2 linked regions of the Coturnix japonica genome follow. The protein of the gene in region 1 interacts with the protein of each later gene in a biochemical or structural test. Links are inferred from orthologs where the notes say so. Each region holds a gene or a part of one and is shown on either strand. Other genes may lie near its edges.

What was found.
Region 2: the proteins of CDK7 (region 1) and GTF2H3 form a complex in vitro, tested with the Homo sapiens proteins (2 studies listed by BioGRID). The link is inferred for Coturnix japonica from reciprocal best matches to the Homo sapiens genes CDK7 and GTF2H3.

Annotation. Positions count from the first base shown.
Region 1 is NC_029547.1:13,173,378-13,185,442, forward strand, and holds the start of CDK7 (cyclin-dependent kinase 7), read right to left. Parts: upstream 6,611-12,065; 5' UTR 6,514-6,610; coding exon 6,454-6,513; intron 6,274-6,453; coding exon 6,214-6,273; intron 5,402-6,213; coding exon 5,368-5,401; intron 4,679-5,367; coding exon 4,611-4,678; intron 3,862-4,610; coding exon 3,793-3,861; intron 3,032-3,792; coding exon 2,921-3,031; intron 1,636-2,920; coding exon 1,517-1,635; intron 878-1,516; coding exon 778-877; intron 1-777. Other genes in the region: MRPS36 (28S ribosomal protein S36, mitochondrial), read right to left, coding at 7,536-7,553, 8,771-8,946. UniProt on the Homo sapiens protein: Serine/threonine kinase involved in cell cycle control and in RNA polymerase II-mediated RNA transcription. Cyclin-dependent kinases (CDKs) are activated by the binding to a cyclin and mediate the progression through the cell cycle.
Region 2 is NC_029530.1:4,200,619-4,212,809, reverse strand, and holds GTF2H3 (general transcription factor IIH subunit 3), read left to right. Parts: upstream 1-6,626; coding exon 6,627-6,723; intron 6,724-6,864; coding exon 6,865-6,944; intron 6,945-7,308; coding exon 7,309-7,415; intron 7,416-7,729; coding exon 7,730-7,893; intron 7,894-8,133; coding exon 8,134-8,196; intron 8,197-8,431; coding exon 8,432-8,461; intron 8,462-8,773; coding exon 8,774-8,802; intron 8,803-8,886; coding exon 8,887-8,961; intron 8,962-9,402; coding exon 9,403-9,456; intron 9,457-9,759; coding exon 9,760-9,828; intron 9,829-9,933; coding exon 9,934-10,069; intron 10,070-10,149; coding exon 10,150-10,186; intron 10,187-10,266; coding exon 10,267-10,336; 3' UTR 10,337-11,296; downstream 11,297-12,191. Other genes in the region: ATP-dependent RNA helicase DDX55, read left to right, coding at 159-241, 593-724, 852-944, 1,444-1,558, 1,730-1,898, 2,161-2,453, 2,922-3,071; EIF2B1 (translation initiation factor eIF-2B subunit alpha), read right to left, coding at 3,632-3,787, 4,235-4,360, 4,504-4,579, 5,168-5,236, 5,426-5,538, 6,037-6,153, 6,222-6,358, 6,442-6,543 and 1 more; TCTN2 (tectonic-2), read left to right, coding at 11,396-11,474, 11,654-11,767, 12,046-12,119. UniProt on the Homo sapiens protein: Component of the general transcription and DNA repair factor IIH (TFIIH) core complex, which is involved in general and transcription-coupled nucleotide excision repair (NER) of damaged DNA and, when complexed to CAK, in RNA transcription by RNA polymerase II.

The sequences.
Region 1 (12,065 bases):
CACATATGCAGCCCAAGATTATCCCTGTTCACTCAACATGGCCCAGGCAAGCCAAAAGGTTGGACACCTGTGGTCTAATCTATGTTTATGCATGCACTACTGGTGCACCCCCCACCTTCATTTCCTACTTTCATGTTTTCAGAAGAGCTACGTAACAGACTGCTTACTCCTATAAAGCCTATTTATGGATGATTACATCTGTGTATCTTATGTAGGAGTGATATTATGTAATCTTGACCATCTTCAGCTTCACTCCAGCCTGTGAACTAGACACATTTTACAACAACAACAGAAAATTTTCAGCTCATTACAAATAAATCCACAGTTGATGTACTGGTGGTAATTATTCCCAATTATTGGGAAACAATTTATGAAAAATAAGAATGTACATGCACACCTACTCTGCCAGATTTTCTAGAAATATCATAAATGAAAACTGATGAATGGCTGCGTGAAAGGCAAACACCAAGAGGACTGGAAGAGTAACTCTTTAATCACCTTCCCCAAGGCAGAGCTGTGACACTGTGTTGTACTTTTTCGCCTACCTGTTCTTTAAAGTTTCCATTAATTGTAATGATTTTGGAATCTCAGCTTATGTGAAAAATTTTGTTTCCTTACAGGTAGCAAACTTCTGGGAGGTGTTCCCTCCCTGCTCCCTTTCATTACCTCCAAGAAAGTAGCTTAACTTTTTATTGGTGACAGTACTGCAGGGCAGAAGAAACCTACAACTAAGACGCACTGAAGAAAAAATAAAAATTCTTACATTTGAAGACTTACCCTGAGAAGCAACTCAGCTAGAATACAACCAACAGCCCACATATCGACACCAACTCCATACATTCTAGATCCAAAGAGCAGTTCTGGAGATCGGTACCACCTGAACAGAAAAAATATTTTAGGAAAACATCCTGGTATCACTTGATGTCAAGTGCTGCATGCTGCAGCAGTGCAGTAATTACAAAAAAAAAAAATTAAGTGTATTTTTATTATTATTTATCTTTAATAAATGTTACTTTAAGACACAATTCCTTTCAGCTTTCAAAAACATTACTAGCAACAGACTTATAGATTAATTTTGTGCAAAATACATCCTGGCAGCAATTATTTGAAGCTGTCGGCAAAACATACACTGCATTTCAAACAACAGTTTCACTGATGCCTTTTAATTGAATGAAGATGTTAAATAGTTCCACCGTATAGTTTCAGCACTACAGTAGACAAAGGAAACCTTATCTACTCTGTCTCTCTGAAAGCTAGATTTATAGGTAAATACATGTTAATTTCATGTGCTTCAAAACCATATCATTTCACAGAACAACCATCAGGGACATAAATTCCAACCATTCTTAGAGAGACTATATTAAAAAGCACTTTATTATGCTTTCTGTTATGAAACTTTTTGCCACTATAATCATAGCACTTGAGCTAGAAATCAAACTTTAAACATGTTGTTTTAACATGGCGTATTCCACAAGGTAACATGTAATAGTTACCATCAATCTAAGAAATGTCTTACCTTGTTACTACTTGGTGTGTGTAAACTCTGTTTGGGCTTCCAAAAGACTTTGCCAAGCCAAAGTCAGCTAATTTCAAAACACCATTTTCATCTAACAACAAATTATTTGGTTTAAGATCCTGTCAGGGCAGAAAGCAAAGAAGGAATCCTGTCATTGTTAATAAAAACAGACATACAGCGAACATTTCAGCAAGAGTACAGTAACAGTATTCTAAAACCTACTCTTCTGAGTATATTTTGATTTTTTATGCTGTGATGAAGAAAACAAACAAGACATCATTTCCACATAAACGAAAATAAAAACTAATCATACATCTCAATTTGAATATTAAGCTATTTAATTTCCAGAGTTCAAAAACACAAATTTATGGTAGGTGTTTGCTTTGCTGCAGGAACATTAGTTCTGTCTTACTGCACTGTTAAAAAAAAAGAATAATATAATCCCTAATTTTAATGACAGCTGGAGATGTCATGGGATTGGTATAGTTCAATACAGCAACAGTGTTGTGGGTTGGCCACAGCCAGCAGGCACGTAACCATTGCTTGCACTGCCAACTCCTCACACCCAGGTGGAAGACAAAATTTACTTATATCCCAGCATTGTTAATTATCATTATTATTATTTTACACTGTTGTACCACTGGCAGCATTTTTCGGGGCCACCTGGGTCAGCTGCCCCACGTGCTGCATCCCTTCCCAATTTCTGGCCCACTCTAAGCAGATTTTGTTGGGTTAGAGGCAGAGTGGAAAAAGGCTTGACAATGCGCAAGCAGAGTTCAACAGATTGAAAAATGCCATTGTTTTAAGCTACAAATTCAAAACAGAGCATCATGCAAACTCCTGTGTAGAAAGTTAACTTCATCTAAGCCCGACTAGATCACAATTCTAACCAAAAGTCTCACTTGAGACTGTGAACTGAATCCTTCCGTGTGGAAAGAAAATGAATATTCTCACTGATACTTGCTGAATGTTTATGGAGGCCAAACACTGGATGTGAACACAGTGAAGAGAAGGGTGGTGTGTTTCACCAGTAGAGACAGTGGGTGATGTCTGCTGGAGCAGGTTTTTATGAATGTGGTATGTAGGCTCTTGCTCATTGCTGATGAAAACGGTGCTGACACTGTTTTGTAGCTAAGAGTTTGTCCTGCCATATAGAGCTATTGTGCTTTTTGTATTGTAGTTTCCATGGCAATTAATAGAAAGCACTACTTATGGAATGATTTACACCTATAAGCATCTACACAATAGATGTCAGTAATTCTTAACATTTCTAGTGTTGCAATTGCCACTACTCAACTGCTAGAGCAACCCTATGCATTCTAAACCAATGAAAGCCAGTTTTCAGACTAATTCAATCAAAAGTGATATTTGTTATAGGAATAAGGGCATTTAGAGCATGCTTACCCTGTGCAGAATCCACTGTTGATGTAAATACTCTAACCCTTGAAGTGTCATCAGCATATACGCTTTGATGTGAGACTGTGTTAATACAATACTAGTATCCTTGATAATAACCTGCAAGTGTTAGATTGATATGGGTAGACTGGTAAGCACAAAAACTTATAACACAAAATTATTCAACTCAAAAGTCAGTTTATACTTTAGGATAAAGCTGGAATTTGTAGCTACATATACATGTATAATGGGTTAATTTCTTCCAGAGCACAGATAATGTGAGCATGTACAGATTTGACACGACAGTCACCCAAAACGTCTTCTCAGCAGTGCTCCAAAATGAAGAATCTGCACTAAAGTATTCAATAAAAAGGTACTGGCAACAGACAAGCTAATGAAACATCCTTAAGATTCAGGCCTGCAAGCACACGCCACTGTCAAATTTAAAAGAAGGGTTCAGGAGTATGTGACTTCTAGTCAGATAATTACTCGGCATACTTGAATAATATCACACTTACTTGAGCATGTTTTACGTTACTGTGCTTAGCAATTGCATTCTGAGATCCTGGCTTATGATCAGTGGTTCTATGCTCTGACTGAAGCCCTAGAAAACTAATATAGTAAACATAATCCGTTTCTTGATAAAGGTGCTGACAGAAAGTACTTTAAAGGCATTTTCAATTGAAAATACTGTCTCACTATTCCAACTCTTTTAAAGGTATGATCTTAAATTACATAATGAAAGAATGAGACAACTTTCTAAAAAAGAAATAAAAAACACACAGTAACAGTAAGGCTATGAAAATATATTTTTCAAAATGCATTTTCAAAATGTATTTGAAGATATTGAAATTTATTGAAATTATCTTAATTTGACTTACCTCAAGGTCCGTTTCCATAAAATCAAATACTAAGCTAATATTAGATTTGTGTCCAAATGCATCTAACAGCTGTAAAACAAAATGTGCTATGATGAATGACACTCTCATAATTCCCGTTTCCTAAAATTCCATTCTACTTTAGTTTGCATGTGCATTTTCAATTTACTGGCAGAGACAAACAGGCACAGGGCTACTCACTGCCTAGACCTCATCATCAAGAGGAACCCTAATCCACCTGCTCACACCTCACACAGGTGGAATCCCTGCCACCCTCCCCAGGCAGCAGCAGGCTCAGGCACTCCCTGCAGCCAGAGAACAGCTACATTTCTGGGCAGGCCCTCTGTCTGGGTTGCCAAAATCTTTCTGGAATAAACCTGCTTTCTGATAGAGAACATGTTTAGGCCTGCAGTCCCAGAGACTTTCCAAGAGGAAAGCTAGTCTCCTGAGCACAGACTGACAACATTTACATTCATCACCACTTGATCCACATCCACAGCACTGTATGGGCAGTGTGGGCTGTGCTCACTCACTGAACCTCCCCATTCTCAGTGGGCAGCAACAATGGTTACTCACCTGGTAGCTCACCCTAGGATACTTTAAGCTTGTTATCAGGTGCAAACAATAAGGACTAGAGTTTAAACTGTGCCGCTAATGTGCCAGCTCCACCCTTGCTGACTCAGGAGCCAACCCACAAGCTGGCAGCTCCCCAGTACAAGCGCAGCCTTTTTTACTTCAGATCCCTTGTTCCAGATCCCTTTCCCAGTGCAGTTTTACCTTCTCTGAAGCCAGTCTCTGCAGCAAAAATTCACTGTACTTACACCAATAACATTCGGGTGGCTTAGTTCCTGTAACAATTTTATTTCTCTCAGCGCTGTTCTGTTGATTCCTATATTGAAAAAAATAATTAAACAGAATATAATTAATAATTTCAAGTTAAACTCCAGCAAAGAAACCTCTTATTCTGTTGTTCATTGATTACTTAATATTACAGTCCTTTTCCTCAGCACTCATGTATTTGTTAAAGCCAAGCAGACTGTCACAAATACATAGACTGCTGCAGGCAAGGTATGAATAACAACTAGAAGATATAGATTATGAAGGAAAATACACATCCCTTTGGCTTACTGGCAAGCAAACACTACTGCATTATGTTGTGCAAGATGTTTTGCCTACGCATGAGCTGAAAAACAGTGTTATTTCCATGGTGGTTTCATTCAACATATAAGATTCCAGCGAAGATTTAGATGCAAAGATCTTGATGGCTTAGTTGATACTCTGCCTATTTTAATTCCTTCTTTAGAAAAAAAAAAGAGACAACGTCCGCTTTCATGTGGACATATTTTTTATATTCAGAAAAAAAAGTATGCAAGCCAATATCATTATTCCATGCTATACTTGTGATTGGGTTCCACCTAAACAGTCATATACGCACAGTTAAACATACAGTATGAGAATGCTGTATTTCGGATGTTATTTTTTCTGTCCCTCTAGGTTGGGAAGGAATCAATCACCCAATCAGCAGAAGCAAAACAAACAAAGACAGCTTATACAGCATGAACTTGTTTTAACACTTACCATCTTTAGCTTCTGATCGATGTCCCAGTTTAATCTGAAAATAAGTGCCTCATATTATATAAGGTCAAGTCACAATCCCCAACAGTTTAGTTGTTTAATTAAAAAAAAAAAGATTAAAATAAGTTCATTAAAATACATTAACAATTCTGAATATCTTACAAGGGCTGCTCTGCAAGTAATGCCTCCTATGTTAGTGGTCTATGATGTCAGAGGCGGATGCTAGCATGGCAGTAAGAGGCTGAACCTTCCCATTACATGGTGTTGTTATCTGACAAAAGGGCAGCGGGGGGTACTCTGACAAAACGACATCTGACATGGATGCACAGAGGAAGCAAAAGTGTGTTGCTGAATTTCTCCATGCAGAAAAATGGCACCTAATAACATTCATAGAAGCTTGCTGAACATTTATGGAGATCAAACAGTAAGTGTGAGCAAAGTGAGGGAGCAGGTGATGAATTTCAGCTCAGGTGACAGCAACAGCAAGTCATCCCCACTCATACAGATTTATGGCAACACAGCACGCAGGCTTTAGCTCATTGCTAGTGAAAATGTCTAATTAACGGTGGTGTCTATGCTGAAAAATAGTTCTTGGTAACTTAGAGTGTGCTCTATCTGCTATAGTTTCCACAGAAGTAAAATGGAGGCACTGTTTTCAGTCCAGCACAATTCCACCTCTCCCAGCGTAGCACAGGACATTAAGGCTGGATACCCATGGACTACATGATCTTCTTTTCCAATGTACCAATCCTGTGAATTCTCACACACTACACACGACAGCAGTTCAACAGAAGCACCGTGCAGGACAAGGCTCCCAGTGACACCACAGCGGGGTGTTCCAACACTCACCTTTTTGATAGCAACGATCTGACCCGTGTTCTTGTCCTTTGCCTTATACACAGTAGCAAACTAAAGGGAGAGAGAGAAAGAGACGCGTGACCACGGCGGCAGGGCAGCCCACAGCCCAGAGCCAGAGTCACTACGGTGGGTGAGCGGGAGGGCGATCGGCCCGGCCAGCCACGCTCCCTCCCGCACCCAGCCGCCCCTCAGAGGGCCCCGGCGGCCACACCGCACCCACCGGCCGCTCACCTGTCCCTCCCCTAAGAAGTCTAGTTTCTCATAGCGCTTAGCACGAGCCCGCGCATCCATGGCTGCCAGCTGGGAAAAGCAGCACAGCCCTAAGGCCGGAGAACGAGGCACAACGGAAGAGCAGCACGGCCCTTTATCGGCGCCCGCCTCCAGACCCGCCTACCTGCACCATGAGCGCGCAGCCTGATGCCGTCAGCTCGGAGGCGGGTACTAGGAGGGCTGCGGCCCGGCACACGCTGTGCGATGCTGCTCGTGCCCTGATGGCTGTGTGTGATTAGCTCCGGAGCGGGCAGCTGCCCCACAGAGCTCATTAAGGAGGTTAAACCATGTCCTGGCTGAGTCTGTGATCATGAGGAACGGGGGCCTGACAAAAAGCAGAGTGGGGATCCTGAACTTCAGGAGAATTAACTTATTTAAAAGCAGCTTATTATAAACAGGACATCGTAGGACTTTTTATATAGTCTGATGATGACAGGACACAGAGAAATGGTTCTAAACTAAAAGAGGCGATATTCAGATCAGATGGTAGGGGAAAACTATCAACTCGTGTTGGGGGTTGGAAGGAGTCAAAGAACTGGAAGAGTTTGTCTGAAGAAGGTGTAAATGCCCCCATCCCTGGATGTATTCAAGGCCAGACTAGCTGGAGCCATGGGCAGCCTAATCTAATGGGTGTCAGCCCTGCCCTCAGCATGGGGCTGGAAATAGATGGTTTTTAAGGTTCCATCCAAATCAAGCCATTCTGGAGTCTCTGAGTGTGTCTATCTTGCCCATGAAATCAGCCATGAAAAGACCTGTTAACAAGGAAAATAAAGCAACTCAATTTGTTCTACTGCCAAATTCATAGAATGGCTAGTTAGAAAAATACTCTAATGATGTAGCCATCATTTGCTATTAGTCATCAACAGAAAATCTCTCATCACCAATTAATAGTGCTGTGTCAACCTTTACACCTTCACATAGGGTTTTTATTAAAGCTATCAGTATACCATTATTTATAATATTAAGGAAAAGCTTTTATGATGAACACAATACTTCTTTCTTCAACAGTGGTGATATCTGTTGGTGGCAAATATCTTCCGTACTTATTCTGGACCTCCACGCTGTAAAGCAAAAAATAGACAGAGTTAACTATTTTCCTCTAAAAGAAAGGGAAATTGATATCCAGTCTTCTTTTGCAGTTATAGATTAATAAACAAGTCCTAGATTTAACTTCATTTTTACGCTTTGATTTTTAATCTGTAATGGAACATGCTACATGTCAGAAAAATCATTGCCTGTCATTAATAGCTTATTGTGCCTGATGGAATAATATAAACAATATAAAAACCTCTGCAACCTATATTTGCAGCTGCTCCCTATCCTCTCAGTTGGAAGAAACATGACACTTAGTGACTCTGGAAAGATGAGACAAACAGCCGTAGTAGTAGCTTTGGATTTTTTTTTTACTGCCCAAATTCCAAGGGGCAAAGTAAAAGCAAAGCCCAAGAAACCCACTATAATCTTTATGAGAAATCAGAAATTCACTATTTTGACAAAGTTATTTAACAACTTGCCTTGTGGTTAAAAACAAACAAACAACAAACCAAAAACAGAGGTAAAGAAGTATGTAACTACAGGAAAGTGATTGTTTTATTTTGAATTTAAATAGTCACCCACTTGCACGCTGAAATATAGATTTCCGCTAGTACCATTATACCCTTTAAGTGTCCTCATTTAAGAAAGCTACTGTCTAGCTCTTCAAATTCTGTGCACTCTCCCTTTTTAAGTAAAAATGTTTTCATTTGAAAACTCTTCCAGAAGAAAAGCAGTTCTGCCTTGACTTTCCCATGTTATGCAGCAATTGCAAATATTTTAGGCAATACTTGCATCAAGCTTAACTAAAATGCTCCCAACTGTTAGAAGTGCAAAAATTAACTTCCTATTACATAACAGTTTCCAAACTAGTTTTTATGAATTTTGTACTTCAGTCACCTGGCAAGAGCATGAACAGCATTCTGTGCTCCCATATTCAAATTATGCACTAAACAATGGTTATAAAACAAGAAGGGAATATGCTTAGTGTAGGCTCTACCTATCACTGCCTTTCTACCTTTGCTTTAAATATGGATCCTACAGTGACAACACAAGCTACTAATTAGTAAGAGCTGTGAACCTCCTTCATCAAGGATTTGTTGTTTTGGTACTGCGTATCAACACTGCAAAAGCTCTTCTTAACAAAAATTACAATCTATTATCTCATGTGCAACTTTTAAGGACCTGCAGAACTACAAAGAAGGTTGGGTAAATAAGAGAACACACAACAGTTACTGAGACTTACTTGAATATATTCAATCTCTTCAGCTGACATAAGTTTCCTTCTGTATTTTTGAGGTAAGATTCTTGCTAATTCAGAAGTGTCTGGTGCACCATGTGCCCTACTAGCAGGTGAAATATTTTGAAAGGCTTCATTTGAAGCATGAGGTGACGGAACACTTGCTTGTAGAGATTCCTGTACTGAAACCCAGATTGAAAAACAATGTAAAGAAATACAACAAGATTGTACAGTTAATTAGATGAGTGGCAAATAAGCCACTGACAATTAGTTGTGTCCTAACATATATTAATATACTCAACTGACTCAACTTGTTTTTACTGTTACTAAATACATCAAAAGCACAATGAAAATATTCTGAAATTAAAAGATAGTATATTCAAGTGGAAGAAATATTAACACGGAAAGAAAAATGAAATCAGTATATGTCCTAACAAAGGCTTTTTCTCCTGTGGGAAGCTTTCCTTGCAGAGAAAGTATGAGGTATCATAATTGTGTTGTGGAGAGGGTAATGCAGAATGACAGTTCAGATGAATAACCAAGGTCCACTGAGGTGATGCTTTTGTCTACTTGCAATTGTAAAGGTGAAAAAGAGGCAGAGGCTTACAGAAAGGTGAACATCACAACAATGACATACACGTGCAACTCTGTACCTGTTTCTAATATTATACAGCAGGGCAGTGTAGTGTATCAAATTATGTCAGTAATGTGCAAAATGAGGATCACATATTGAGCATGAGCAACCAAACTGTTAATGAGATGTAGTGACCAAGTAGCAGGACTGAAAAGTATCAGACCTAGCACTGTAGTTGCTTTAGCTCATATACTGTCTGTTTGGTGTTTTTTTTTCCTCCCCTGTTTGACAGCATAACCCAATAGTAATACCATAAAATAACTTGGCTGGCCTTTGAAACATAGAGTTTCTAACAGCACAGCCTTGATCTGCAACATTGTTTGGCTATGTCCAAGCAGCAGTCTGGTATGGTGAAACACAGTTACTGCCATAGACTTCCAGCAAATGGAAAAAAAAAATACAAGAAAAATACAAGAAAAAATGTATAATGGCAAAATTCTTCAGATGCAGAGCTAAACAAGATGTAAGTAACGTGCTTTTTATGCCTCCGAGAAAGCAGTTGGCATGAGAGGTGGTGTGAGTGACAAAGTTATCCCCCAAAATAGTTCCTGACTAGTTCACAGGTATGGCAGAAGTGGCACTGATAGGCACTGTAGGTACTTTGTAATGCTAATGGATAAACTAATAGAAATAAAAGAATATTTAGATGTCTAAGCAAGCCTTCCAGGAGATAATTCTGGTGCTGAAAACTTTGATGTATCAGAAAAAAAAAACCAAAAAAACCCAAAAAAGATAAAAATCAGTAGTGAGCTAAAAAAGGTCAAAACAACCATAAATTCTGAACGAATGAGAGCAGTGTAAGACATCTTTGTAAGATGCTTGCTATTTTAGTAGGACACTCGCTATTTCAGTTTCAAATGCTTTATTGACTCCAAAGAAAAACAGCATACAGCTTACATAGCTGTGATGTCTAAATGTAACTGTACTGGAGATGCTATAAATGTCAACGTAACTATAGGTATAGATTGATGTCTCAAAGATGGCCATGAAAATATATATATTTTCTCCCCTCAGCAGTAATTAGTAAGACCAGGAAATGTTTATTGAAATGTACAGTGGGGTAGCTCTGCTACCTGCAACCAAGGTTTTCAATACCACAAACATTAAATACCACAAAAATCAAGAAAAGATGGGATGAGGAAAATGTAACAGCATTTCTGTAATCACTGAATGCTTAAAGCTGCTTTAAACTGACCTTGACACAACCACTTCAGAAGAATATGACCATGTGCAGAGAAGAGACTTTGTGTGAGTAGGAAATCTTAAAGAATCTTGTCTAACCAAGAAACAGATGCAAGAAATAGACATGTATTATGTCTATTCCGCCTGTTGTAGAGGAGACACCACAGTGACACTGTAGAGATGCAATGAGGAAGGCTAAGGCCCTCTTGGAATTAAACCTTGCAAAGGAGGAAAAGGATAACAAGAAAGGTTTTTTTAAGTATGTCAACAGTAAAAGGAAGACTAGGGAAAATGTGGGTCCCCTACTAAATGAGATGGGTGCCTTGGTAACAGCAGATGCTGAGAAGGCAGAGATTCTGAATGCCTTCTTTGCTTCAGTCTTTAATGCTAAGACTAGCTCTCAGGAATCCTGGACCTTGGAGGCAAGAGAGAGAGGCTGGGAGAAAGGAATAGTTTCTGTAGATCAAGGTGGATCTGGCCAGAGAGCACCTAGCCAAAATCCAACAAAAGACAAATCCATGGGCCACAACAGGATGCACCCACATGTGCTGAGAGCTGGCAGAGGTGATTGCTGAACCGCTCTCTATCATCTTTGAAAGGTCTTGGCAAATGGGAGAGGTGCCTGAAGACTGGAGGACAGCCAGTGTCAGTCTTCAAAAAGGATGAAGAGGATCTGAGAAACTACAGGCCAGTCAGCCTCACCTCTGTCCCTAGAAAGGTAATGGAACAACTTATTCTGGATGCCATCTGCAAGAGAAGTTTATCAGGAGGAGACAACATAGATTCACCAAGGGGAAATCGTGCTTGACCAAGCAAAAGCCTTCTATGATGCCATCACTTTAGGTTAGGTAGATGGGGGGTGGGCAGTGGATGTGTACCTTGGCTTCAGCAAGGCATTTGACACTGGTCTCCCACACCATCCTTACTATGAAACTTAGAAAATATGGGATAGATCAGTGGACAGTGAAGTGGACTGAGAACTGACTGACTCGCAGAGCTCACAGGGCTGTTATCAGCAGTGCAGAGTCTGGCTGGAGGCCTGTAACTAGCAGTGTTCCCCAGGGGCTGGTGCGGGATCTGGTCTTGTTCAACATTCTCATCAGTGACCTGGATAAAGGGATAAAGTACACCTTCAAGTTTTCTGACAATACAAAGCTGGGAGGAATGGCTCACACACCTGCAGGCTGTGCTGCCATTCACCAAGACCTGGACAGACTGGAGAGATGGGAGGAACGTGATGAGGTTTAACAAGAGCAAGTATAGAGTCTTGTACCTGGGAGGGAATAGTCTCATGCATCACTACAGGTTAGAGGCTGACTTGCTGGAGAGGAGCTCTCGACTACAAGTCGGCCATGAGCCAGCAGTGTGCCCTTGTTGCTAAGGTCAGTATCCAGAGGTGTGTTAAAATGAACACAGACAGCAGCTTGAGGGAGGGAATCCTCCCCCTCTACTCTGCCCTGGTGAGGCCACATTTAAACTACTGAG
Region 2 (12,191 bases), on another chromosome or scaffold:
GCTCAGCTCTTTGTTTTGTTTGGCCTGCCAGGACCCAAACTGCTGCACTGCTCTGCCTCCATGACCAAACATCGGTGCGCAATGAGAGGAGGAAGCTGGCAGATCAGTTTGTATCAAGTCCATTTTCTTACTTATTGTTCTTCTTTTGCATTATGTAGATATGCAAAGCAGATGAAAAGTTCAATCAGTTGGTGCATTTTCTTCGACAGCACAAGCAGGAAAAACATCTGGTCTTTTTCAGGTAATTCTGTGTTTCATTGTGAAAATGAGGAGTTTTATTACTTAAATTCCAAAGCTGACCTGTGTTGATAAGGACGTAACTATTAAATGTGGTTCACTGTAATAGCTGTCTTATGGAAAGAGGATAGAAGGAGATCATTGCTTCATGTCGGGATTCTGATAACATGAACTTTATAACACTATAGAAGTAAAGATTATAGATGCTGTGTTAATCATAAAAGTGATGTGCATACCTTAAGGGAAAATAGACAAGTTGCTATTCTTGAAAGGGCTCAGACAGTTCTGACATGGCCGCCTTAGGTGGGTTAAATATATGGTATAATCTTCTACTTCTCTGTCTTCATCACAACAGCACGTGTGCCTGTGTGGAATACTATGGGAAGGCGCTGGAATCCTTAATTAAAGAAGTGAAAATTATGTGCATTCATGGCAAAATGAAACACAAGCGCAACAAGATTTTTACTGAGTTCCGAAGGCTCCCGGGGTAAGAACCAAGCAGGTTACTCCAGGCAAAAGCACAAACAGTAAGAGAGATTTAATAGTGTCTGACAGGGTGCTTTCCTTAAATGACAATTGAGTGAAAAAATGCTTTTTTTTCCTCTTCTTCCTAGTGGGATTTTAGTTTGCACTGATGTGATGGCGCGTGGCATTGACATCCCAGAAGTACACTGGGTTTTACAGTATGACCCTCCTAGCAGTGCAAGGTACAACTTCAGATCTCACCAACCTGTGCTCGTGCTACTGTAATGTTTAGGTATAAATGGGGAACACACAGCTGTGGAAAAAGCACAAAGTTGTCTGGAAGTCTGAGCTACCTGCAAACAAGAAAGTTGTAAGTGATGTGAAGTTGATTGGCTTTGTAGGCCTGATGTGCAGAAGTAAAAGAGGTGGTTGCCACTTGCACAAAGGGGCTTTCTATTCTAAGGGTTAGTGTGAGAGTACGGGGGTAACAAGCTGAGGGGTGTGAATGAGTGCAGAGAGCTGGGGTGGAGCTATTTAAGGATGGTACACTGAGAGTTCACATGAGGGGAGCGTTTCCCACTTATTTTTACTTGTATTGTCATCATTTTCCTGTAGCTGAATTATGAGTTTAGTTTGAAAATACTCCAGGTTTTCCATTCTGTCAGATTTGTCCTTTTTGCTCACAAATGCTTTAAAGTCAGACCAGGCATCTCTCCTTAAATTATCCCTGTTTTATTTCAGTGCCTTTGTGCATCGCTGTGGTCGAACAGCACGGATTGGAAATGTTGGCAGTGCACTTGTATTTTTGCTTCCCATGGAAGAATCTTATATTAACTTTCTCTCAATCAATCAAAAGGTCAGTAGGCTTTTATTCTAACCCTACGCAGCAAAGGGCAGGGGAGCCAGAAGGTGACCAAAACTTACTGAAGATTAACTGGAGAAGAAATGTGTTTGAATTTTCAGAGCACGTTTCAAATCATTCAGCTGAACTTTGCCTTTCTTTTTGTATTCCTTTGTTGGTTTTCAGTGTCCCATGCAGGAAATGAAACCACAGAGAAACGTGTTAGATCTTCTTCCAAAACTGAAGTCTATGGCTCTCGCTGACAGGGCAGTGTTTGAGAAGGGGATGAAAGCATTTGTCTCTTACATCCAGGCTTACGCCAAACATGAATGCAATCTGATCTTCCGAATTAAAGGTAATTCCCAGCAGGAGCTGGGGATCTTTTACTGTTCTTCAGAAGATAATGTTCAGTTTGACAAAAAGCCCCCGTGATGTTACTGTCTGTAGCTGCTCCTTTCTGTTCTCAAAGTCTGACTGAAGCAAACCTAAGTGTAAATGTGACCTCATATTGTCATTGCTATTAAATACTAATTTCAGGATCATCTTTTTTGCCTGGAATTTTGTAAGTTCACTTTTTATCCAGCAGGAAACTGACTTTATAATCTTTATCTCAACAGACCTGGACTTTGCTAGTCTTGCTAAAGGCTTCGCCTTGTTAAAGATGCCGAAAATGCCTGAGCTAAGAGGAAAATGTTTTCCAGATTTTACTCCAGTCACTATTAATACGGACTCCATTCCATTTAAAGATAAAAACAGAGAAAAGCAGAGACAAAAGCAACTTGAACAACAAAGAAAGGAAAGAGAAGAAAATGGAGGAAAAAAGAAATTCATAAAAAACAAATCCTGGTCAAAGCAGAAAGCCAAAAGGGAGAAGAAGAGGAAAGCAACAGCTAAAAGGAAGCGTGAAGAGGTAAACCATGCCAGTCTCTTAAGCTGCGTGTTGTTACTAAATGTACTTGCAAAAGTCAGGGAGCAACGGGATTTTAGTGTGACAGAAGTGAGACACACTGCAGGGTTACTTATTGAAAATAAGCCTTCTACGTCTGCCAGGCAAAGCATAGGAAAAAAAGCTTTTTAAAACCAAATGTTGCAACAATTTCTCATCGCTCAGGTGATGGTGAATTGCTGCCAGCATAGGTTCATAGGCTGCATGGATTGTAGGGGATATAGCAGCACTTCACTGGATAGTTCTTATTTGTTGTTGCTTTTTTTTGTGTTTCAACAAGTGAATTTGATAGATTGGTGGTAGAATTTGAGTATAATTTCCTGTTTGGATGCTGCTGGCAAAATCTAGGTTGTAAAATTCTGTTGTGTTCAGCTGTCTAGAGATGAAGCCTTTGGTGTCGTGTGTAATCTGTTGTATTTCAATGGCTAACAGGGCTCTGATATGGAAGATGAGGACATGGAAGAGTTGCTGAATGACACGAGACTCTTGAAAAGATTAAAGAAGGGGAAAATTAGTGAAGAAGAATTTGAGAAGAGACTAACAGGAAGCCAGAGTAAATTCAGAGAAGCTGCTGCTGACTGAGACTGAAGGTTTCATTCTAACTGGGCTTTCACATTAAGATACTCCCTATTCCAATAAAACTGTATTTTTATAACAAAATAACGATGCAGAGAACAGAATGGGTTTAATTTCTTCATCAAGAAACTTGGTTTCCATAAGCATAGTTAAGAACTGCAGTTGAGAACAAAGCTAAAGGCACTGCCCTTGTGTCATTTGGCTGGAGCTACAGCTTTCCCTCGGTGCATTTATTTCAGGGCTTTTTGTTCACAGATCAGTGAATGACAGCATGTTATGGAATGAGGCTGAATGCACCATAAGTTACTTTATTTTACAGTACTAAAATACTTGACCCTCTTCTCCAATAATTCATTTAAGGAATTCAGAAGCTGTAACAACTTCCATTTTTTTTTCCTAAACAGTGGTTCATCCACAGGTAATGCCTTAAACTGAAGGTTGATAATGACATGAATCCTTGTAATGCTGCCTCCTCACCTTGTCCACCCCACTTGTGTCACCTCCCAGGCTCTTACAGCTGTGACAGTCACTGAGGATGGTACACATTGCACACCATGTCCATTGAGTTACAGATACAGTTTAATGAGTTCGTCGCTGACAGCTGATGGAGTTAACACACCAAGGTCTGTAAACAGTAACGTGATAAGTGATGGTGACGTGTAGTCAATCCAGGGATGTTCCTCTGTTAGATTCTGACTTGTTTTCAGCGTGTCTGCTTTGTACTAGAAGGAAACAAGACCGTTAATTATTACACAGCTGCGAGCTAAAATCTCTCTTGGGCTGGGGCAGTGCTATAATCTTGAGCAGATATCTGTGGTAAAATGGAGGGAAGTCAACTGCTTTAAAATGAGGCATGTGCTGCCACCTTGGTCTCGAGTGTTTTACCTTCTATCCACCATACAACTTATAGTTCTGAAGTGTCTCGATGTAGCTGTTTCTTGCCTGCAGCTACTCCCGTGCCCCAAAGGAATTGCTTTGGTAACTCAACAAGAGTATTAGGACAAATTGTGGATGTTGGAGGTCTGACTTGAACATGGACCAACTCTGTACTGTGTCAAGTTAACTACAGTAGAGAGATCCAAACAAATGAAGATGTGCTTAGAAGAAAATTGCTCACAAACAAGTAAGTGGATCTTAGTTTGCCAGGAAGCAACCTGTATTTCTCTTACCTTAAACTTATCTGGGACATCCTGCTGGTTTAGAGGGAAGAGTCTTACAAACTTGAAACTTTCTGCCACCACATAGAACGGCTTGTTCTGAGCTTTGGCACACACAGCAATCTGATTGGTGCCAATCTGTGGAGACACAGAAAATAATGTGCAGATTCCATGCTAGCATGACTTAATATTGCCATGTTTCCAATAATAGACTTTCACTGATTGATATCCAAGAATATTTGAATAGAGTTTCCAGATTGATGCAATGCGTTCTCTTTTACCTTGTTAATAATGCCTCCGCTTTCTACTACACCTTCAGCACCAACTAAGACCAAGTCCACTTTCTCCATAATGTAGCTGTTGAAGAAGGGGAAGAGATCCAAGTCTTAGCAAATAACGTGACTCATTGAACAGAACAGAGATAAGGAATTCCAACAGTCTCACTTTTCTAAACTAGTTTTAGCTGCTGTTAGTTAAGTAAGACTGTGTTGTTCGACATCCTTGGAATGAGCTTTCGCCTGCTTGCTCAGCAGGAATGGTACAAGCCATGTCTGACCTTGACAACTGTGTAAGCGATGGGAGAAATCCATCAACTGTAGTCATTACATGGCAAAATATGCTAGAATTTAGCATTTAGATTGAAAACAAACACAACATTTAGAAAGAAAAATCAAAGTAGTTTTCTTTAGTACAGCAGCTCCTTCACATATCCCCAGGCTCCACGCATAGGTTGATGGAGTCAGACCTTATAGGCAAACATCAAGGTACAAGTTCTGCAGCAGGCGTATTTGGTTAATCATGCACCTAAAGTGTCACTTGTTCAGCTTGTTTGATGACTATGACAAATGAAGTAACAATTCCTGTGTTTAGAACAACCTCCTATGGAACTTAAATGGAACAATGTTAAAATTGGGATGAACGTTAAGATTTAATGATCAGACTCACCCAACTGCAGCATCCAGTATCACAGTCACAGGAATGTTCAGTTTCCTCAGGGCTTTTGCCATTTTTTGCCTGTTATATAAAAATGAAGCTTAAAAGTCTTTCTTTAAAGATGATAATAGAAAAACAATGTCTGAAAGAATGAAACCCATGACTATCTATGTTCCTACAAGGCCAGCAGCTTTGAAGTTATGACAGAATTGATGCTGGCTGTAGTTTATCCTCTTAGCCAAGATGAAGCACAAGTTAATGAATACTCGCCCTGCTTGGTCTGGCTGTGATTCAGTAACATAAACGCTGAATCGCTTCTTTGACTCAACAGCTGCTTCTAGCACCCTGAGGACCACTCGTGAGTAGGCGTGTGTCAATATCCTCTGTCAAAAGAGATTAAATGTTACTTCTTACTGAGCTTTAAAACCTTCATTTCAGTTAGGATGAACAGGGCTTTTACTTCTGTCAGTGTCCATTGGTGTTATGGTCTCAAACTAAAAGAGGGACAATTTAGATGGGTTACAAGGAAGAAGTTAGTTATGATGGTAGTGAAGCACTGGCACAGGGTGCCCAGAGAGGTGGAGGTGCCCCATCCCTGCAGACAGCCATGGTCAGGGGGTGGGGCTGTGAGCACTGATGGAGCTGTGGGTGTCCCTGAGCACTGCAGGCAGTGGGACTACATGAGGTATAAGAGTCTCTTCCAACTGAAATGACTCCATAATTCTATGATGTTGCTCGTATTTACAGATTTTAGGAGAGGATGCCACGCTGTGAGATGGGCAGGAATAATAACACCACCCCCCTGCTTTCCCAGCAGCGCAGGCAGCAGAGCCAGGACACGAGCAGCCCTTGTTGTACTTACAGCTCCTTGTTGTACTTACAGCTCCGTCTCTGATGAAGGGATGACACAGTTTGGCGATTTTGTTCCTGGACAGAGAAACCTTCCTGAGGAAGATCTCCCCGCGCTCGATCATGATTTCTTTGCACTTGGAGTAGTCCTGGAAAGGACACAGCGCTGCTGCCGGCTGCCCTGCAGCAGATGGGCCGGCAGGAGCCCGCTCCTTACCGAGTACTCGAGCGACGTGAGGCTGATGAAGCGCAGGAACAGCTCCCCGCCGGAGTTGACGGCCACGGACGAGTCCACCCGCGACAGCGTGTCGATGGCATCGCGCAGGCTGCTCCGCAGGCCCTGGATGGTCTCTCCTATGGAGACAGGGCACAGCGGGGGATCAATCGGGGCCGGGCCAACATCGCTTCGTGTCCGGCCGCCGGGGATGGGCGCCCACCTCGGTCCTGCCGCAGGAAGCCCAGCAGCGCGCGGATGGCGGCCACCGCCGAGGCGACGTCGGGGTCATCCCTCAGCTGCGCCCTGAAGGTCTCGATCAGGTCTGAAAGGCAAAGAGCCGCCTCACACTCGGCTCAGCCCGGCCCCCACAACACCCTCCATAGAGACACATTACCGTCCGTGCTCATGGCTGCCCCCGCCCTGCTCGGTGCCATGCGGCGCAATGCGATGATGTGCGGTATGACGACACCAGCGGGCGACACCAGCGGCGGGATGGGAGCGGGTGAGAGGAGCCGGCCGAGGGGGTCGGGACGGGGGGGGGATGAACCGGGCCGAGTCCAGCTCAGCTCAGCTCAGCTCAGCTCAGCCCCCGCGGCTCCGGCAGCTCCCGGCCCCCTGCAGTGACCCGCTGTGTGTTTTGCAGACGAGGAGCTGAGCCTGCTGGTCATCGTCATCGACACCAACCCCATCTGGTGGGGGAAGCGGGCGCAGGGGGAGGCTGAGGTGCGTCCCGGGGCCGCTTTTATAGGAAACATCGGTGGGAAACGTGAAAAGTATCATCAAACCGGCACAGGGTGCACGGGGAGGTGGAGGTGCCTCATCCCTGCAGACACCCACAGCCAGGGGATGGGGCTGTGAGCACTGATGGAGCTGTGGGTGTCCCTGAGCACTGCAGGCAATAGGACTGCATGACCTTTAAAGGTCCCTTCCAAATGATTCTCTGGTTCTACAGTTATGCATTTGTCAGAGCTTTGCTCAGCTGATGCCTCCCGTTAGAAAGGAAGCCCTGCACCTTCTAGTTCTGAGTGCAGTTCTGCGGTTGGTTCCTGTAGGTGCTGTCCTGCTGAATTATTCTTTCCCTTGGCAGTTCACCCTGTCGAAATGTGTGGACGCAGCGATGGTGCTGGGGAACTCCCACCTGTTCATGAGCCGCACCAACAAACTGGCCGTGATGGCCAGTCACACGCAGGAAAGGTACGGCAGCCGCTCACCACCATGAGTGTGACGTGTTGTCCACTCCCTGCCTCCTGGTAGAGAAAGAAATGGTCTGTTTTAATGCCTTATGGAAAGCAAGACAGAGTCAATGCATCAACGTATTGAAAGGAGGGAGGTGAACCATTTGTGTCACAACAATTTCCTGCCTTATGAACCCTATTTAATGCCTGAAGTATTAAAGTTATTTGGAGTTTTACTTCAAAATATCGCTGTCTATGAGTGGTCAGCTGATGTCATTTCTTCCTTACAGGCTGAAAAGCAAACCGTAACACTTTGTTCTTCCTCTCTTTTAGCCGTTTCTTGTACCCTGGGAAGCGTTGGGCTTCTGCGGATCTCCTTGGAGATGGTGGTAACTCCGTGGAATCCAATTGTTCTGGCAGCAAGGATGGAAAATATGAATTGTTAACTGCAATCAATGATGCAATTGCAGAAGAGATTAAAGACCTCATGACGAAAAGTAAGGGAATAAAAATTCTGGGTTTCATAACACAGAACTGCAAAATGTTCTCTGGGAGTTGCAGGAATTTCTTTGGTTCATTTGGATTTTAATATGTTTAGAGTAGGTGAGTTTTTATGGCTGATATTGGGTGACTCTGCAGTGATTCAACATGGCGAAGATTGAACTGTAGCACTCAGTGAGATCAGGCTGAGTGAATGATTTTGTGTATCAGAGTAATCTGTGTAATTTGCTTTGCAGCTGACATGATGGGCCAGCAAACAGAGACTCTCCTAGCAGGGTCTCTTGCCAAAGCACTTTGTTGTATCCTTTTGATGGCAGAACTTTTAAAGGCTTTTGTCTGTTTCTTGTCATACTAATTATCCTTCAATACAGTCTTGACTATCAGTGCATTCTATAATAATTTTCAAAACTGAAACATTTGCCTTATAATTGTGGATCAAACAACGTGTGTTGTTTGAGGTAGTGAGTACATAGCATGGGTGCTGCTGGTGCTTCCATGAACAGAGTGTGGATTCCTTGATGTTGTCTGATGTAGATATTAACAAGATGAGCAAAGAGGTGAAAGGTAATGCCTTTAGAGTGCTTTCACGAGTATTTGAACCTATATACCTAATATACCTAATTGCTTTGGGGCAATAAATGACATAGGCCCGCTTTCGTAACGTCTGAATTATTCTACAGATAATTCTACATGTATTTCTATACCACTGGGACTATCAGTATTTACATTCACATTGTCTGAGACATTAGATCTGTCATTTTGGATGTTAGATTGATTGGATTTACCTTAGTTAAAATGTCAGGTATCGTAGAACTGTAGGGACAACTATAGGGAATGGATGTACTCATGTGCTTTTATTTTCTTTTTGCTAATCAGCCAATCAGGAAATGAAATCAAGGATTTTGGTAAGAGCTTTGTTGTTAGTCTACTATTAGCCTTAAAATACATCAATGCTATATGGGCTAACAAGTCTCTATTGTTTTATTTAGGTCATAAAAGCTGCAGAAGACAGTGCATTACAATATATGAATTTCATGAACGTGATCTTTGCAGCACAGAAACAGGTGAAGCTATTTGATATATCTTATCTTTTATTAGCATATAAAGAGTGAAAAAAAATGGTTCATTTACATTATGGCTGTGATCTGGTTAAAGAATCCCTGGAGTGAAGACTGTCATGCCAAGAGTGAAAGGTAACCGAGGTTAAAAGTCAGATCCTACTGCTACATCTTAACGTGAAGGGTTTGCTGGACTAATAAGAGATTGCTGTGAAAGAACGGATGGTAGCCTTCTGTCCCGCCTTGCAGGTGCTGTGTACAGGATACCTTTGCTGATAGTTCTTTTATTGCCATACATTAGAAGGGAGGTGTTAGAATTCTGGATGTTTGTTCTGACAAAGGGAATGAGCTTTCTTATTGCTGTGGTGGTCCTGCAGCTGTAAAACATGGATGAGGTTACATTGTTCCTAGCTGAACTCCTTTTTTTGTGGGTCTCTTTACTTGCAGAGTATTTTGATTGATGCTTGTGTCTTGGACTCTGATTCAGGCCTTCTACAACAGGTACAAGCTTCCTATTCTTACTTGCTGTTTGCTTTAATTCATAGATACTTGATGCTAGATAGTTTGATGTGTTTTAAAGCACTCTCAACTTTTTCAAACCAGAAAAAGAGACATTATTACACCCTTCTATGAGACAAGGCCTAGGTATTTTATGTTGGTGAAACACTGTCTCTTTTTCTCAGTCTTTTTGTACCCTCCTATTCTGTAACAAATTATTATTGCTTTGTTCTTCTTCCTTGGCTAGTAGAAACCATTGCCTTCCTGTTAAGACTGAGCTATCTGATCATTCTCTCTGCATTCCAGGCTTGTGACATTACAGGCGGCATATACCTTAAAGTGCCCCACCTGCCATCCCTCCTGCAGTATTTGTTGGTATGTCTTCACTTGCTTTTTCCTGTGTCAGATGTGAAATCTTACTGACTTCACTGACACGATGATACAGCCATTTCCACACTATTTTTTTCCCTGTTTATATAGTGGGTATTTCTCCCTGATCAAGAGCAAAGATCACAGCTTGTGCTTCCACCTCCCGTTCATGTTGACTACAGAGCAGCGTGTTTCTGTCATCGAAATCTCATTGAGATTGGTTATGTATGCTCGGTGTGCTTGTCAAGTAAGTTTATAAATACGAGTTGAACTTCCTACATGTCAAATGAGCTATTATTAGTGACAGCCAATCCTTTTATTTTCCAGTATTCTGCAACTTCAGTCCAATTTGCAGTACATGCGAGTAAGTTTTCCTTCTTATTTCAGGAGTGGGTCTGAGAATGCATTTGTTGTATCTGACAGTTCCTTTTTATGTCATTTCAGGACTGCCTTCAAAATATCACTGCCGCCTGTCATGAAAGCTAAGAAGAAGAAATTAAAGTTAGCTGTCTAACGATGCAACTTAAACACACCGTTACTGCTCCTGTTATTCCATGAAGGGGGATGTACTTGAACAATTGTTGACACTTTTTACAGGATATGAAAGAGAACTGTATGCAGTCTTACTGCTTTTTTTCTTAAAGTATTTAAGCCATTTTTTCTATGTAGTAACAAATCACTGTGTTAGCAGGTAATCTGTGCTGTCTTAAATACTGTTTATTCATTGTAATTAGAACCAGAAGTTACAGGTTGTTAAGATGCAGGTCTTGCAAATTTGGAAGCATTCTTGCTGCTGCAACTTCAAACTTCCAAGTTATTTTCCAAGACAATAAAGTTTTGGTTGTTTTTAATCACATGTTGGTGCAGAGGTGAGCTGTCACCACTGCTGATGTGTAGGGACTGAACCTCAGCACCGCTATTGAAGGACCTCAGTGTTCTGTGAGCTTTCAGTGTCTGTCTGGGCACTGAAATGGGGTCAGCTTCGGAAGAAGAAAGCCAAATGTTTAAAGATTGCTTAGAACACACCTTCCTGTCGAGGGTGTTCATTCCTTGGCACGTGCACACGCACTGTGTCATATGTTTTTATTCTCTTTATGCTTTTTGGCTCTCTTGGATAGCTGCTCCTCAGTAACTGGAGCAGTAATATGGAGGTATCCTTCCCAGGGGAATTTTGACCAGAAGACCACATTTATGTGTGAGAAGGGGTTTATGTCTGTAAAATGACATCAGTAAATGTCCATGAGGTGGTCAGTCTTCAGTGCTGTGCTTTGAAACTGGAAAGGTTTCAGATCAGTGTGTTTTGTATTTGAGTAGCAGCTATGTGTGCCATGTCCAGGCGTGCATCTGGCTTCGGTCAGGGCGGTTGTTGTCATCAGCTCCCGTTCTCGTCGCCAGGAGCCACTTTGTTTGCAAGTTGTATCTATAATTCTGTTCTTACAACACCTTTTGGAATAAAAGCAGTTCTTTTTACAGACATGGATGCTGTTCGGCCTGTTGGTGTTTGTGAGGCGGTCTGTGGCACGGCGGGTGATTCCCGCCCTCCTGGTTGCCGTGGCAGCAGTGCCGCCTCAAGATGGCGGCGCTCAGTGACGCTATGGCGGCCGCCGGGCTCGGGGCGCTGCTGCTGGCGGCTCTGTGTGCGGGGCAGCCCGGTGTGTGGGAGGGGGCGAGGGGAGGAGAAGAGAAGGGGAAGGAAGGGATGAGAGGGGAGAGGGCCGCAGCAGCCTGTGCGGGCTGAGGGGGCTCGGCCTGGTGTGCCTCCCAGATGCGGCGCTTTGAGGGTTTCTGTGTTACAATGTGATTCTTTTCTAAACTTTCTCTTCCCCCCCAGTTTTTCAGCCTTCCTTTATCCACATGTCTGGGCTAAGAGTCAATTCGTTTTTTCTTGGAGATTCTTCAGGAGTTACGTTTTCCATTATTTTAGATGCTATCGATAAAGAGACAGGTAAGAACACTTTATTTATCTACCCGCTATTTCGAAAAATAATAAATATATTTGAATTCTTAACTTTTTTTTGTTGTTGTTGTCATTACAATTACCCAAATAACTGCAGTGCAGTTCAAAGAATCATCACAGAACTGTTGGAGTTGGGAGGGTCCCTCTGGTGCCCCATTCCCACATGAGAAGTTTGAAGTGACAGTGAAACAGATAACATACATATATATATATAATATATATTAATAATATATATATGTGTTTGTTATGTTTTAATTTTGATACAGGAAATTTGCTCCTTCCAAACTGCGGTGGAAATGAAAGAGCTGGTGACTGGGAATTGAGTGTAACAGCTGGTGTGGTATGTAAAACACTGCTTCTGCCCTAAGATAGAAAAGCTTGAGCAATCATATATTAAAGGCTGATGAAGTGC